Oreochromis niloticus: one gene and its partner. The protein of the gene in region 2 purifies or fractionates together with the protein of the main gene of each other region. This does not show direct contact. Links are inferred from orthologs where the notes say so. Each region holds a gene or a part of one and is shown on either strand. Other genes may lie near its edges.

The links. The genes of interacting proteins can lie anywhere in the genome.
Region 1: the proteins of hspa12a (region 2) and akap12b purify together in Homo sapiens (affinity purification with mass spectrometry; 3 studies listed by BioGRID and IntAct, with this or other methods). This does not show direct contact. The link is inferred for Oreochromis niloticus from reciprocal best matches to the Homo sapiens genes HSPA12A and AKAP12.

The regions. Positions count from the first base shown.
Region 1 is NC_031980.2:11,539,629-11,546,628, reverse strand, and holds the start of akap12b (A-kinase anchor protein 12b), read right to left. Parts: upstream 3,078-7,000; 5' UTR 2,884-3,077; coding exon 2,749-2,883; intron 1,418-2,748; exon of another isoform or gene 1,385-1,417; intron 1-1,384. UniProt on the Homo sapiens protein: Anchoring protein that mediates the subcellular compartmentation of protein kinase A (PKA) and protein kinase C (PKC).
Region 2 is NC_031978.2:32,299,165-32,306,883, forward strand, and holds the start of hspa12a (heat shock 70 kDa protein 12A), read left to right. Parts: upstream 1-4,645; 5' UTR 4,646-4,970; coding exon 4,971-5,013; intron 5,014-7,719. UniProt on the Homo sapiens protein: Adapter protein for SORL1, but not SORT1. Delays SORL1 internalization and affects SORL1 subcellular localization.

The DNA.
Region 1 (7,000 bases), on a different chromosome or scaffold from region 2:
AAATCACCGCGTGGCCTCAGGAACACTTCCATGATCGCTGTCTGTGATCCAAAAATGCCTTCAGTGGGCCGAAGCTCATTTAGGCTGTTCTGTGGTCAGACAAATCGAAATGTGAAATTCTTTTAGGAAAACGTGGACACAGCAACTTCTTCTACACATTAAAGAGCGTGTCATCAGCACTCAAACGCTTAAATCTCTGATGATATGGGAGTGTGGTAGTGCCTATAGAATGGGCAGCTTGCACATCTGGAAAGGCACCATCAGTGCTGAAAGGCATACAAAGGATTTAAAGCAACATATGCTCCCATCCAGGTCTCCCCAACAAACTCTTGGCAAAAGAACGAATGAAGAAATTAAATGAACTGATACTTTTCTCAAAATGTTTCCTTTTCTCATTTTAGACATGTGATGTGTTTTCTTTTCAGTGGAAGTGACAAAAGATTCAGCAGCAACATCATCTCTGCGAGTGGTGACTCTTACTCAAGAACACACAAACCTTGTTTTCAGTGTTGTTTCCATGCGGGTAGTATTTTCCTTTTACTGAACCACACATACTAAACAAACCACTAGAGAAGAAAACATCCATTTACCCATGACTAGAGGCTCATGCTTGCAACAGCGTGCAAAGTGAGCTCGCTCCAACTGAGAGGAAAAGTTAGTAAATTTCACTTTTTTTTGGAGGGCGTAAAAGGTCTCCTTAAAGATCCATGACTCTGCTCCAATTAGAAATAAAGATCTGTCCTACAAATTCTCATTTTTTTCCACAAATTAAGTAATATTTGATACTAGCTGGTAATAACTGATGTGGAAAAAGCAAAACAGCATGACTGGAAATTTACTGTCAGTGACAGAGACGTAGACTGGGAATCACAAACTGTTCCAACCTGTCACGGTTGAAATCACAGAGAATAACAGATGTATCTAAAACACCCCGGAGGTTTGAAATATTGCATATCACAAAGTCCCCACAGTTAGTTGGAAATACAAGTGAAAACACTGCAATCCATGATGACACCTGAGATAAGAGCTCGAGGCTTGAGGCTAAAACGTCCAACCGCCACACAGACGTTCTTTGGAAATAAACAAGAAGCAACGACCGTGATTCAAATCTGGATTAGATTCTTAATGTACCCCCCCCCCCCTTACCCCACCCAAGGTATCATGTGACCTCTCTGCTGACCTTAAAGAGACTGAGATGGGCCACAAAATGTAACCTGTTGCCCTCTAATCTATAAAACACTCAATAAATCCAATGGGTTATGTGAGGCGTGAACAGAGCAGAAGGTGAAGACATAAATAGTTCTTAGTAGGCACTTTCCAAATATGCATTCACACAATACTGAGCAACTGACACATTGGTAAGAGTGCAGTGTTTGCAGGATACCTCAGGTGGTGGCAGCTGGACCCCAGCATGGTGCAGGGCTAAAGCAGTGAAAACAGCATATTAGCTTTTTGGAATAGGAATATTTTATATACTTTTAATTTCAAATGTGGAAAAAAACAGAACAAAAGTTAATGAGAAATAAAAATACATTCATTATCTTTAAATTCTGCACTTTCCTGCACTTTCAGAGGGACTCGGGAAGTGTCATCTGACTTAAATGTGACACTAGAGTTGGAAAACTGCCCAGCTTATGGGAAATGTAAAGCATTTTAATGCTGTTTACTCCTAACAGCTGAGTCACGAGATCAAAGTGCTTGATTTGATTGGATTTCATTTGAAGGGAAAGGTTTAAATAATTAGCTGATCAGTGGGCCTGTTTATTTTTTCCCCATCAGTCATTTCTCAAGCACAAATGCCAAACCTTCTCCTCCAAAAGAATTTGGCGCTAGATAAAAACTGAATGTTTTCATCTTTGTGTCTAAGACTGTTAAAGTGGTGGCATCTTGGGCTTTGAGACATCATAACAGGCATTTTAACTATTTCCTGTCTTGCAGAGATAAAATAAAAACAGGTGTTTCTTCAGTGCTCTAACATCAACATTGACATTGGACTAACAACACCACCTCTTGAACTGTAATGCATGTAGTTTTAAAATTATGTAATGAAAATCTGAGTATCTATCAGATTTCTGTTTATTAACACATTTTATTTTCTTAGTTTTAATTGTTTGGGGGTTTCTTTGTTTTTTACCTTTTTGTGCCATCTTTAAAAAGATGTGGGAATTACAAAGAACATTGGGATTAATAGTTTATGATGAAGTATAAAAATAACTTTTGTCAATTTTTGCTGTTAAGGAACATTAATTATGCAATCATCGGTCCCTGTGAGAATCACATCCGTCATTTCTCCCGGTCAAAGCAGGCCGAAAGCGGTCAAATCAATCAGTTCCTACTCTATAAAGAAAAATATGCTCGTTATCCGGGACTAAACGGTGCCCTGTGTGGCTGTAAACCTGGACCAGGCTGAGCTGCTGCTGGCGTTTTATTACTGCGGGACTGCAGACTCGACCCATTACTCAGCAAAAACAGCGTCAGGCGCACATGGAGCTGGTGCGCTGCAGCACATTACTCATGCACACAGCGAAGCACATGATTTGAGGCTGGGGGGCGGGATGGGGGGCGACAGGTATGTTTGCAAACATGTAGGTGAACTCACAATAAATGCACAAAACGACAGCTTTTACAGCTGGAAGCATACGCAGATACAGCCCCCCGCCCCCGGGTCTGTCTCTCTGCTCACCGTGCAGGGGTGGGGGGGTCTTGTTTACTGTGACAGAGCTAAAAAGGCGCAAGTGTCGGCTGTACCTTGCTGTCCAGGACGCTGTCTCCCTCCTGGTGCGCCTTCACTTCTGCGCTGAGATCCCCGGCGGAGGCTGAAGCTGAGGCTGAGGCATCCTCCTGGCTCTTCCCGTCCTGCTGCGCTGAGTTCTGTGCTCCCATGGCCAACTCTTTTCGTCTTTGGCTACTTTCGGTCTAAATAAGCCTCCGCAATAAACGGAGCCAGAGCAGAACGACTGTGTTTAGGGAGCGAATATCCAAAGCGTCCGATGTACGATGCAGCTCCGCCCCGGGGTGGCCTGGATCTGGAGTGATGAAGCGTCGGCACTGGCAAACTCTTTCAGGACGCCCCCACCTCTTGCATCTCCCGTCAGTATCACATGGGGGGCTCCGGTGTGCAGCGGCACGCCTTGCAGGAGCAGAGTTGGATGGAGGATAAACAAACGAGGGAAGAGGAGGTCAAGTAATTAAAAGGATAAAGGGCCTTTTCTTCACACGCCGCATTAATCCGTTAGTTTTGTTCTGTTCTGGTAAATTAAATTTGAGCAATTTTAAAAACACAGCAATGACACGAGGGTAGAAATCCGACAAGTTTGAGCAGAAGTTGTAAACATCACCACTGATGCCACTGGTAAAAAGAGAAATTAAGAAGAGTCATTGGGCATAAAAAACAGTGAAATAAAATCAAACCATGGTGCACATTATTTCTTGATTTTGGTGACAGGAAGCATATATAAGGACAAAATTTACCTGTGCACTTTTACAGTTTGGTCCATGAGTTGCTGGAAAATGACACATTTTTTCCACATTCAATGAGTTTTAAATAAGTCAAAGTGTGAGAAAAGTGCAGACTTGTAATTCAAGTGGTTTAACAACAAAAATGCATTTTTTAAATTTTTTTTTTAGGAATTAAAGACATTTTTATGCATAGAGCCCGATTTTCAGAGGCGCAGATTGAATTGGTCAGCTGACTGATAAGCAGCTAAGACCTCTTCCCTTGTTGTCATGACAAATTTAATCAAAGATCTAGTTCATTCAGAATATTGAACTTGCATTTAGTAGCTTTCACTGGAATATCTAACACGAGAAAAGAAGATAACAAAAGGTGGTCAAGAGGTGCAAACCACTGGTTACACTCAAGAACAAGATTTGACTTTGCCAAATATAGATATAGATATATAAATGTTGTAATTCTTGCACCAGAATGATAGGAAGAGAAAAATATGGAGAGAAGGAAAGAGAACAGCTTGTGATCGGTCAAACATAGTGGAGGAAGGTAAATGTATGGCTGCAGAGGAACTGGCTCACTGGTGTTTTTTGATGACAGAAATAGCAGGATGAACTGTGAAGTGTACAGAGCTACACTCTCTGCTCAGATTCAGACAAATGCTACAAAATTAATCATACAGCATTTTACAGTCCAAATGGATAATGATCCAAAGCTTACTGCAAAAGCAACCTGAGACTGTCTCACAAAGAAATGAGAAATGGCCACATCAGTTACTTGATCTTAACCCAAACAGAGTATGCTTTTCAGATATTTAATACAAAACTGAATGCAGAAGGACCCGCAAACAAGTGACGACGAGTGGCAGGGTGAATTGTGACAGAATGACGGCAGCAAAATGGTATTTAGACATGCTGGGCAGAGCTGAAGATGCAGGATAGACAGAATTACATATCCATGAGAGAGACAGCTCAGGTTGATCAGTTTGGAGACAAAGTTAGAGAAGAGGATGCTAGGGGTAGGGTAAGACTTCTCCTCCTGTTTAAAAAGGTTCTCCTGGCTTTACTTTGACATCCACCTCATTTTGTATTGCAGAGAAAACAATCTTTCTTGTGCTTCATGTGAAAACACTAACACAACCTTCATAACACTTGCAACACAACAAACAGTGTCTCTGTTATTCCAGCTGAATTCGCTCCATGACGTAATCTCTCTGACATCTCTTTAGATCCTGATTTTTAATCTTGTTTACATTTTGCTGTGATTCATTGTTCTGATGAAGTGTGTGTACAGTTACTCTGGTTTACAGAACTGGTTTGTAGGTAATTGTAATTGTAGGTTGAGTCAATGTGTCATTTTGTTTGGAATTTTTGAACACAAAAATTATAGTCCAAAATTTTAAGCCAAGTTCACACACGCCTAAACTTAAGGTCCCGACAGCTAAACCAAAACACAAACCCAAGCACGTAGTGCAACAACACAAATGAAGGCTTTACACAGAGAAACACTCAGAAATAACAGGATATAACCTGTCAAACAGTAAAACACACAGGACACATTATACAACTATGAAACAATAACAGCAACATGAGCTGAAAGGGACTGGAGATCATCTGCTACTTACTGGTAATATAAGGTGGACTCATTTAAAGCAACATACACTGATTGTTATGACCACTCACTGCTGCTTTATACATCTTTTATTTTTTCTCCAGTAAAAATAGCTTTGTGTCATGGAGACTTCCATCTTTGAATTTTTAAAACCCTTTTGACTTTGTAAACTGGCTTTGACTGGGATTTATTTGAGACTTCCAGAAAGATTTGATTTAAATGTAAGTATGTCTAGAAGATAAGGCAAAATGTCTGAATCTAATAAACAATGGTAACATCATTGTTCTGATGCAGCCAAAGTGATGTTTAATGTCCCTTAGCAAGGTGCACCTCGATCAGTCCAGTTTTGGTAGCCATCATCAAGCTTCTGGCATAATTCTGCTTGGATATTTGCCCACTATTCTTGGGATAATTGGTATAGTTCATTGATTTGATTACTTAGAAGCTGGGACCACGCCAGGAAATCATAGCCAACAAGTTTTCAGTAGGGTTTAGGTCGGGACTTTGGGAAGATTAATGGGAAACTGGTTAGGATGATCAGAAACAATCATGGAACCACTAAGGCTCAAGCTTGCAATGAAATGGAAAGTGCTAGAACTCTGTCCACAGTGAAGCCAGTCTACATTGCCATTTACTGTCCGCATAGACAAGCCAAAGAAAAGTTTTGGGGAGAAAAGATAGAGCTATTGGGCCACAGTGAAAAGAGGAATGTGGAGATTTCAAGAAGAGTAACTGAACACAGTATTACAATAACACTCAGATGTCAAGCAGAGCTGACAATCTTGTAAAATCTCGAACAAACTCATGAACACCAACTGAGACAGCAAGACAGAGGGTATGTCCACACTATAAATGAGCAGTATTGTAGTGCCGGTGTCACATGGAAGAGGAAAAAGGAAGGATGTTCTCATTACACTGAAAGCATTACTAGATATGTCATGCTCAGAGCTCTATGAAATAGTAGCGTAAGGGTACGTTAAAGGCACATTTAGAGGAGGGAGTGTTCAGCAATATTCACAAGCAGATACTCGCCACTTTATAGTTTTCTGCAGACTGGATGGCTCTAGAATATGAACCAGTTTGTTTATTTGAGAAGCATAGCATATAGACCCAGGACTGCTGAGCAGCTAGAATCTAAACTAATTGAATAACTTTCAATAGAGGACCCAGTTAATGTAGCACTTTTTTAGTATAAAGGTATTGAAACAACTGAGAGTGAATTGGATGTTTGGGGACCAGGATCATTCAGCTTCAACTATTTGGACCAATTTTCCAGAAACTCTTGGAATTCCTCTCACATGAAATATTCAACAGGACACTGTCCTTGGTACTGAAATTGGAAAATCTATTAAATCTGTCCAGAAGTGCTAAAAGATGAGAGCCTAAACAATTTCTCAGATGGAGTCAAAAACTCATTGTAAACAACTCTAACCGAACAAAACAAGGATCTGTCAGCGCATTACAGTGCAATGCCAAAGTGTACAGCTTATCAACACATCTTTAAATCTGTCATCAGATCAAAACAAGAGGGTTCAGTCTCTCTCGCTCTCTCACACACACACACACACACACACACACACACACACACACACACACTAAATCTGCTGTTGGGGTGCTACTGTATAAGATTCCCACTGCCAGGTGAACACGCAGAATAACACGGAGACTTTGAAAGTGTGGAATGCCAGCTATGACACATGTGCACACATGCACACTTGGCTTCATGCTGAAAACCCAAACACCTCATAATGACAGATGTTGCACCCTGGGGTGCTGCTGGGGGGTGGGGGTGGGGATCATCTGTTTTCAGACACCGTTCCAAAACACATGGGAAGAAATGAGAAAAGCACAGACAATCTTAAAGGTTTCATCCGTGAAAGGAGGCACGATTGTATCGCAGCATCTCAAAAAGAATCGCGAGACGATAGCAAGAAAACAGCT
Region 2 (7,719 bases):
ATACCTCATTAATCAATATGGAACATATTATTGGACTAACAATACTTCTTTGTGGAGTACCAATCTGTACCTCATAACCTGTACTGAACTCTTTTCCTACTCGTTCAAAAATTCCTGATCCATTTCTACATTTTTCCTTTAATATCAATCTGATGCAGCTTGACCAGGAGTCCTTCTTTCCACATCCTATCATAAGTCTTCTCAGTGTCTAAAAACTCTCCTTGCCTTACTTCATGTTGTAGACACAGAGCTGGATCCATCTTGCTTCTTCTTTCCTAAAACCACTCTGAGGATATTTGATCTTACCATTAGTTTCTAAGAAATAATCTTTCATTCACCATTGTTTCCATTATTTTCTCCAAATGAGATGTTAAAGTTATCGGCCTGTAACTTTCAGCTAAGCTCAGATCCTTTCCTGGTTTACAGATGTAACAAAACAGCCTTTTCTCACTGAGTTTTTTTACTTTCTTCCCACATTTTGTTAAATAATTCTACTATTATACTCTTACCAAAATTACCAAGGTTTTTAATCATGCAATAACTAATTAGATCTGGTGCTGGAGCTGTATTACTTTCTTTAAAGCATTATGTAACTCTGCTATTGAAAACATGACAGTTATCAGTCTTGTCGGGCCTCCAAATGTTTCCTTTGTGTTTCTGCATTATTTAAACTTTCTATGCTGTGAACTTTGCAAATGTTCCTGCCAATATTTCAGCTTTACTTTTGTTATCAACTATTTATCTTTCATTATCTTTAATTGTTGGATAACCATATTCTTTTCTGTAGACAGACATATATTTATTAGTTGTCCAGACTCTCTCCAAGGTGTTACAGTATTTGATTCCAATATTCCCTCTTATTCCTGTTTTAATTATTCTTCTAACTTCTGCCTGTTTCCTTTTAGAGCATTACATGTTTAACACATAATTATTATTATCAGTGTTTTAAATGCTTTATTCCTAGTGGTAATTATGGCTTTACATTCTTGTGTCCAACACACACACAAGAATGTAACACATTAACCTTTCCTTTTTATTACCTCTTTTCTTTGGGATAGACCCTAGGATAGACTTTAAAGTTTAACTGATTAATTGGTTGATCAAAATCAACATCTTCCATTTCCATGTTGTCATTATGATGCCCCCATAAAGTGCTGTGTGAGTTAAAGTCACCACACCAAACTGTTCTCCCTCCAATCTCTGACAATTCATTCCATTTCTCCCTTCTTTAACTTTTTACATGGATTTTAAAAATGGATTACTTTGATGCTTCCTTGCTTAGACCATACCTCCACAATCATTACTTCTAATTCTACTTCAGTGGTTAGTTGATTATACTTAACTCAATAAACATTGCACATCCTCGTCCATTTCCACCAACTCTGTCTTTGAGTATCCTTCGACAACAAAATCTAGAATTAGTTTAAACCATGTTTCTTGTGTACACATGATATGACATATGATGGGTTTGAATGTAATGCACACATCTATGCCCTGAAGCTCCTGTCCGTTTGCAGTTAAGCTCCTGGCGTTCTATTGAAGGATTAACATTAAGGTATAACTTGGGAGTGTGATGAACATTCTGGATGACTAAGATCCCAGGACAGATCCTTCATATTGGAGAACTGATCTTTTCTGTTTTTGTTTTGGCTCGTTCTGAACCGTTAATGACAAGTTTGACCGTTTGGACAAACTGCTTTTTCCATCTGTCCCTCTGTCTGTTCCTTGTTCTTTGTCTGATCTTCTTTCCTTGTTATTTACCTTCTTCAAAGCTTCTACATAAGATACTCTTTCCTCTGCTTCGTTACCGTGCAGCCACCATATGCTGCTGTACGAGCCCCTCCACAGATGCAACATTTAACCTGATTACTGCCACATTCACCATACGCATGTTCTCCTCCACATCTCACTTTTCCTTTGCACACACTGGCTATGTGACCAAACCTCAGACACTTATAACACCTGAAAAGTGAAAACATAAACACGAACACTAAAACTCATGTATTCCACCACGACTTTCTCTGGTAGGCTGTTACTTAAACTCATGCAGCACTGACAGACCATCCACTTTTCCTCCATTTCTAAAAGCTTTCAGTCTTTTTATTCCAGTGATCTCTCCTCCTTTGGTCATTTTCCTCATTTCCTCAAGATTTTCCCCAATGAGAATACCTGAAATCACTCCTCTACATCCTTCCTTCTCACTGACTAAATCAAACAAACAAACACCACACCCACTGTAACCATATTAATGTATTTCCTGGTAAAACGTGCATCCATACTCTAATAAGACATAATACTTTCCTCAAATGACACAGTGTGTAGTGTCTTATAATCCTTAATTGACTGTCTTTGGTAGCATAAATAAGCAGGTCAACTAGTAGTTACAGTATGTAAAGCTGTTAAAATACAAGGAAATATATAATAAATGCTGCACAGTAAGGATCTGTAAGACTCCCGCATGTCTAAAACCATAACTTTGAATCATTTAACCAATAAAACTCTTAAAAGTCATAAAATTAATCAGCTATAATTATGTGGCTTAATAATAAAACATTAGAATTCTTGGGCAGTCAAGAACATAGTGTCATTGTTAGTGTGCAGTAAATGTTTATACACAAATGCATATAGTTATCTTAATAATAAATGTAAGTTAATTTCCATCACTTATAGTCTTCTGTTCACTCAAATGCACCACTTCCAGTTCAAGATACAGATTAAGGAGGATGCCCCAGTTCACCTGAAAAGTTTGGTACCAGTGCCGCAGAAAGTGCTGGAGCTGGGAATAACTAAAGTTCCCAGTAGTTGGTGGTGCATCCGCACTGTTCCGACAAACAGAAAGATTTTTGTATTGGTTTCTGGTAAATAAATGCCTTTTCTAACTTTCATCCTAGAACTGGTGACTGTTTGGATAAAGGATATGCGGACACCACCCAATCATTTCCTGTTCCCACTACTGAGAGGCCTGGTTGGATGGTATAGAAGAATTTGTGTCCCGATTTGCAGAGAGAGTAAGTTGGGTTGACTGACCTGAGCAAGAAATTGGGCCCTAACAAGGTACACTGAACAGAGGAATGTGAGAGAAGCCATAAACCCCCAGCCTGTTCTCCACAGCCCTGACTTTGACAACCAATCATCCTGCAAACAGATGCAGAAGGGGTTCTTTGTTTGCTGCTCGAAGAGGCCACTGGTGCTCTCAGAGCTGCCATGTTTGCTGGTAAACTGAACCTTTGATCAATAAAAATAAACTTGGGCTGTACTGAATTCAGTCTTTGCGACGGGATGCCATGGCAAAGACTAACGCCTCTCACAGATACATTGTCCAAGCTTGATCAAACATGCATGGTAATGTCCTCCCCCTCAACACAATTCAATTGCAGTATTTGACAATGGCCACAGTGCCATGTAGCGGGAACAGGAAATGTCACGTTTTGCATGTTGGGGTACAGTTTGAAGGTGGGCGCCCCCGGAAACCACAAATTTGTCCAGAAAAGCATTAAAAGTTGGACTTGTGTTACACTGTAAACTGTGAGCTTTTATGCAAAAGGCATGACCCTGGCGGCACGAAGAGCGATATTTCTATAACACACAGAAATCTAGTCCAAACTTTACAGTCATGATGACAGTCCTGCCGTGAACACACTGATATGCCCACTGTCAGCATAATTTAGAGCGCCACCTGCTGGAAACAAGAAATGTCATGTCAACATGTTGCCACTTAAGAAGCATTACTCCTTCTCTTCTGTAGGGCTAGCTAGATGCTGAAGTACTGCGACTAGAACTTTTGGACATCTGCACTCGTTCCGGTGTTGTGCCCCTTCACCCCACCCCACCCCACCCCACCCGCACACAGCGCTCTCTTCAAATGTTTGAAACCCAAAGTATTAAGGCTGGTTTGAAAAAGTAGAAAGTATAGATATTTGTGTTAAAATCTAGGATGTAGAAAAACATGAGAAAAATAAATACTCGAGTACAGACAGCTATGAAAATAACGTACCTGCAGTAACAACGTATTTGGACTTCCTTACTTCCCACCTGTATTATAATGTTAAACCCCCTTATATACCATTTCACACAGACTGTCACAATCTGCATGGGGTATGCAGATTGTGTTTTGTGAACTGGACCAAAGAGAACCACACACACGTAGAATAATAACAAAACCTAAAGACAGTAAAACAGAAGTATCCATCCATCTTATCCGGGCCGGGTCTCAGGGGCAGCAACCTAAGCAGAGAAGCCCAGACCTCTCTCTCCACAGCCACCTCCTCCAGCTTGTCTGGGGAACACTGAGGCATTCCCAGGCCAGCCGAGAGATGTGTCCCGGGTCTTCCCCAGGCCTCCTGAAGAGCCCAAAACACAGTAATAATCAGCAGACTCGGGACCATGACAACAGACATGCAAATACTTTTTTTTTGTATTAAATTGGAGGGGGGAAATGATCGACTTGTATGAATCTAACCTGAATGTATTTCACGTATTCGCTCGTTTGGTAACTTTTTCATGAGGTTTCAGTTAAACTAGTCTGAATGCTGGTACAGTGGGTAGTGGGGGGTACAGCGGTAGTGGGGTACAGTGGGTAGTACTGCATCTTTTGCGGCTGCACCGAGCAAAGCTGCGTCAGACCGGACAGGGGCAGCATTCCTGGTCAGGACAGCCATGAATGTGATGGGAGGGGCGGGCAGAGCAGCAGCAGCAAATCTGGGGTCCAACATCCTCTGTGCTGAAGCTTTTCTGCACCTCTTCTGCTTCTAGACCCTCACGAACCTCAGCCCTGTCCACGAATATTTCCAGGTCTTATGCACACAACGATAGGCGGTAAAGCGAAGCTCGGGGTGGCACCGCGTTAGTGACGAAAACCACATTTTGTTTGATTTTTCCCCACTTTGGCCCGGTGTGCCTCAGCAACCAGGAAAATTGCTTGGTGTAGCTGTATCGGAGAGAAGGCTCGAGAGGAGGTGAAACTGCGGGACATGATGACCGAGAAAGACGCATCGACAGAGAAGATAATCACAGGTGAGTTAGCATATCCCGTAACGTCTACAAACACCTTTGTCGGTACAAGCTGCGGTACTCTGATAGCAGTTACGCAGCAGCTTTTCGGTGTAGTCGCCTGTCAGACGCGGAACTCTGATATTTGCCCGACTGTGGCACTTTGCGCTTCGATCTAGTTCTGGCCAAAAAGCGTATGCGACACCTTTGCTGCAGTGCAGAGAGGCTGTGTGAGCTATGAAACCCTCCCTGGGTTTCCAAGGACACTCGTGTTGTGCGGGACCTCGCCCGCTGACTTGCACCGAGCAGGAACATGTAAGAACATGGCGATGTTAAAAGTTCTCGCTTTCTCTGGCTCGTGTTTTCCGACCGAGCTCGATGTGGCAGGTCGTTCCCGCAGACACAGACCAGGTCTGTCCTCCATAACGGTGCGGGGTTCGGTCACGTGGCCCATCCCACCGGAGCTGTGACTCAATGCAGCAAAAAAAGAAGTCTGCACCACATCCTCAGGTACTGCTCATCCCCGCCCAGTCGGAGCTGGTACGGCGTGTGATGGAGCTGGAGTCCTGAGCTGTGTTTCACGTCAGCGGCCTGCACAGAGTCTGCTGTGTTAAAGTTGGTATCAGTGGCTTGCATTGGGAAATCTGTCATTTTATTATTGCTTGCTGAAATAACATAATTGCCAACAGTTCTGTCTTTTGCACTCCAGATGTACATTTAAGCATACCAACCAACATTTATCAGAATCAGCACACTTTATTAATCCCTAAGGACATTATGTGGGTTACAGTTGCTCCACTATAGTAACAGAAACAGAATAGACTATTTAACAATACAATATGTTACAGATTTACAAATATAAGAAAGACTTTTATTTTGACAGTTTCAACCTGTAGGGTCATCCGGCACCATTTTATACGATGTACCCCCCCACACCAGCAGTCCTGTACCTATAGCATTTTAATGATTTCTTGTTAGGGCCCGAGCACAAAAGTGCGAAGGCCCTATTGTATCTGCTCTGTTTCTTATTATTATTATTATTATTATTATTATTATTATTATTATTATTATTATTATTATTATTATTATTATTTCGGCAAATGAATCGGCCTTTTGAGGGCCTAAACATGCTCGAAAACTCATGAAATTTTGCAGACGCGTCAGGTCTGGTGAAAATTTACGTATTTTAATGTCCGTAGACATGTCCAGGGAAAATTGGCTCAGTAGCGCCACCTAGAAAAATGAGAAACGCGAGCCCCCGAGATGGGTATGACCTACATGTATAAAACTCGGAACACATATCTAGCGTTCGGAGGCGCACATAAAAGTCTATTATGGCCATGTCCTAAACCCAACAGGAAGTCCGCCATTTGGAAGTGAAGGTGACATTTTGGCTCTAATTTTGCCATTTCCATGCCTCGAACTTTTGCGAACTCCTCATTGGAATTTCATCGTACAAGCTTCATATTTGGTCAGTGTCAACTACACACCTGGGCCATGTTAAATTGCGGAGCTTTTGAGTTTTCGGGTTACTGTGAGGCCGTGGCGCCACGGCGAATTTCGATGACTCGCCATGAAAATCTTATTGCCTCTCGTTCTGTCATACATTGTCCGACCTTGACCAAAGTGGACACATATGATAAGGCTCCACCCCTGAACATATTTCAACTGCCATATTTGACACCAGGGACAGCGCCACCTAGTGGGAACAGGAAATGTCATGTTTTACACTTTGGGGTACAGTATTGTAATGGGTGACATCTGCAGCCTCAAATTTCTCCAGGAAAGCCTTAAGGAGTTGGTCTTGGGTTACAGAGAAAACTGTGAGTTTTCGCTGAAGGGTGTGACCCCAGCAGCATGGCGAACATTGAGGTCTCGCCATGAAGAAACAAATTAGTGTAACTCAATGAAATCCAATCTGATCAGTACCACATTTTACAGGGATGATGTCAGACCCGCCCTGAACAGATTGATATGCCCATTGTCAGGAATACGTAGAGCGCCACCTAGTGGCACCAGGAAATGTCATGTCTTTCATTTTGTTGTACTGATTTTCACAGGTTCATCGTGGCCACCTCAAAAGCGGTGAATATCACCATCAGTCCCTCTTGATGCTTCAGTGAGAAAATTGTGACTATAAACTGAACGGCGCACCCTGGTGGCAGCGCAGTTCACCATGAAAGATGAAGTGGCTTTTGAGGGGCTTGAAAAGTTTAAAAAGTCTTGAAATTTGGCGCACACCTCTAATGTGATGAGGGATTTCTTTTTATATGTTCATTTTCCTTGAAGAGCGCAAAATGGCTCCACAGCGCCCCCTACAAAATTTCAAAACAACAGCCCCTGCTCTGTGTTTTATGTATGAGTTTGAAACCTGGCAAGCTTATTGGAGATATCAAGATGTACAAAAAAGTCTCTTGGAGCAATATCCCAAATCCAACAGGAAGTCAGCCATTTTAAAATTAATGTGTAAATTTGGCGACATTTTCCCCTCTTTTCAGGCCTCATACTTTGACGAACTCCTCCAAGGGATTTCATTAGATTTACGCGATCTCCTGTGTGTGGAATCTAAAGACCTTTGTGATGTTAAATTGCGAAGCTTTTTACGTTCAGGGAAACGGGGTGGTCATGGCGGCACGTGGAGTTTCACTCACTCGCCAAAAACCAGTAACCTGCTGTCGCTCAAAAACACAATGTCCAATCTCTCCCAAAGTTCGCAGGCGTGATGAGACT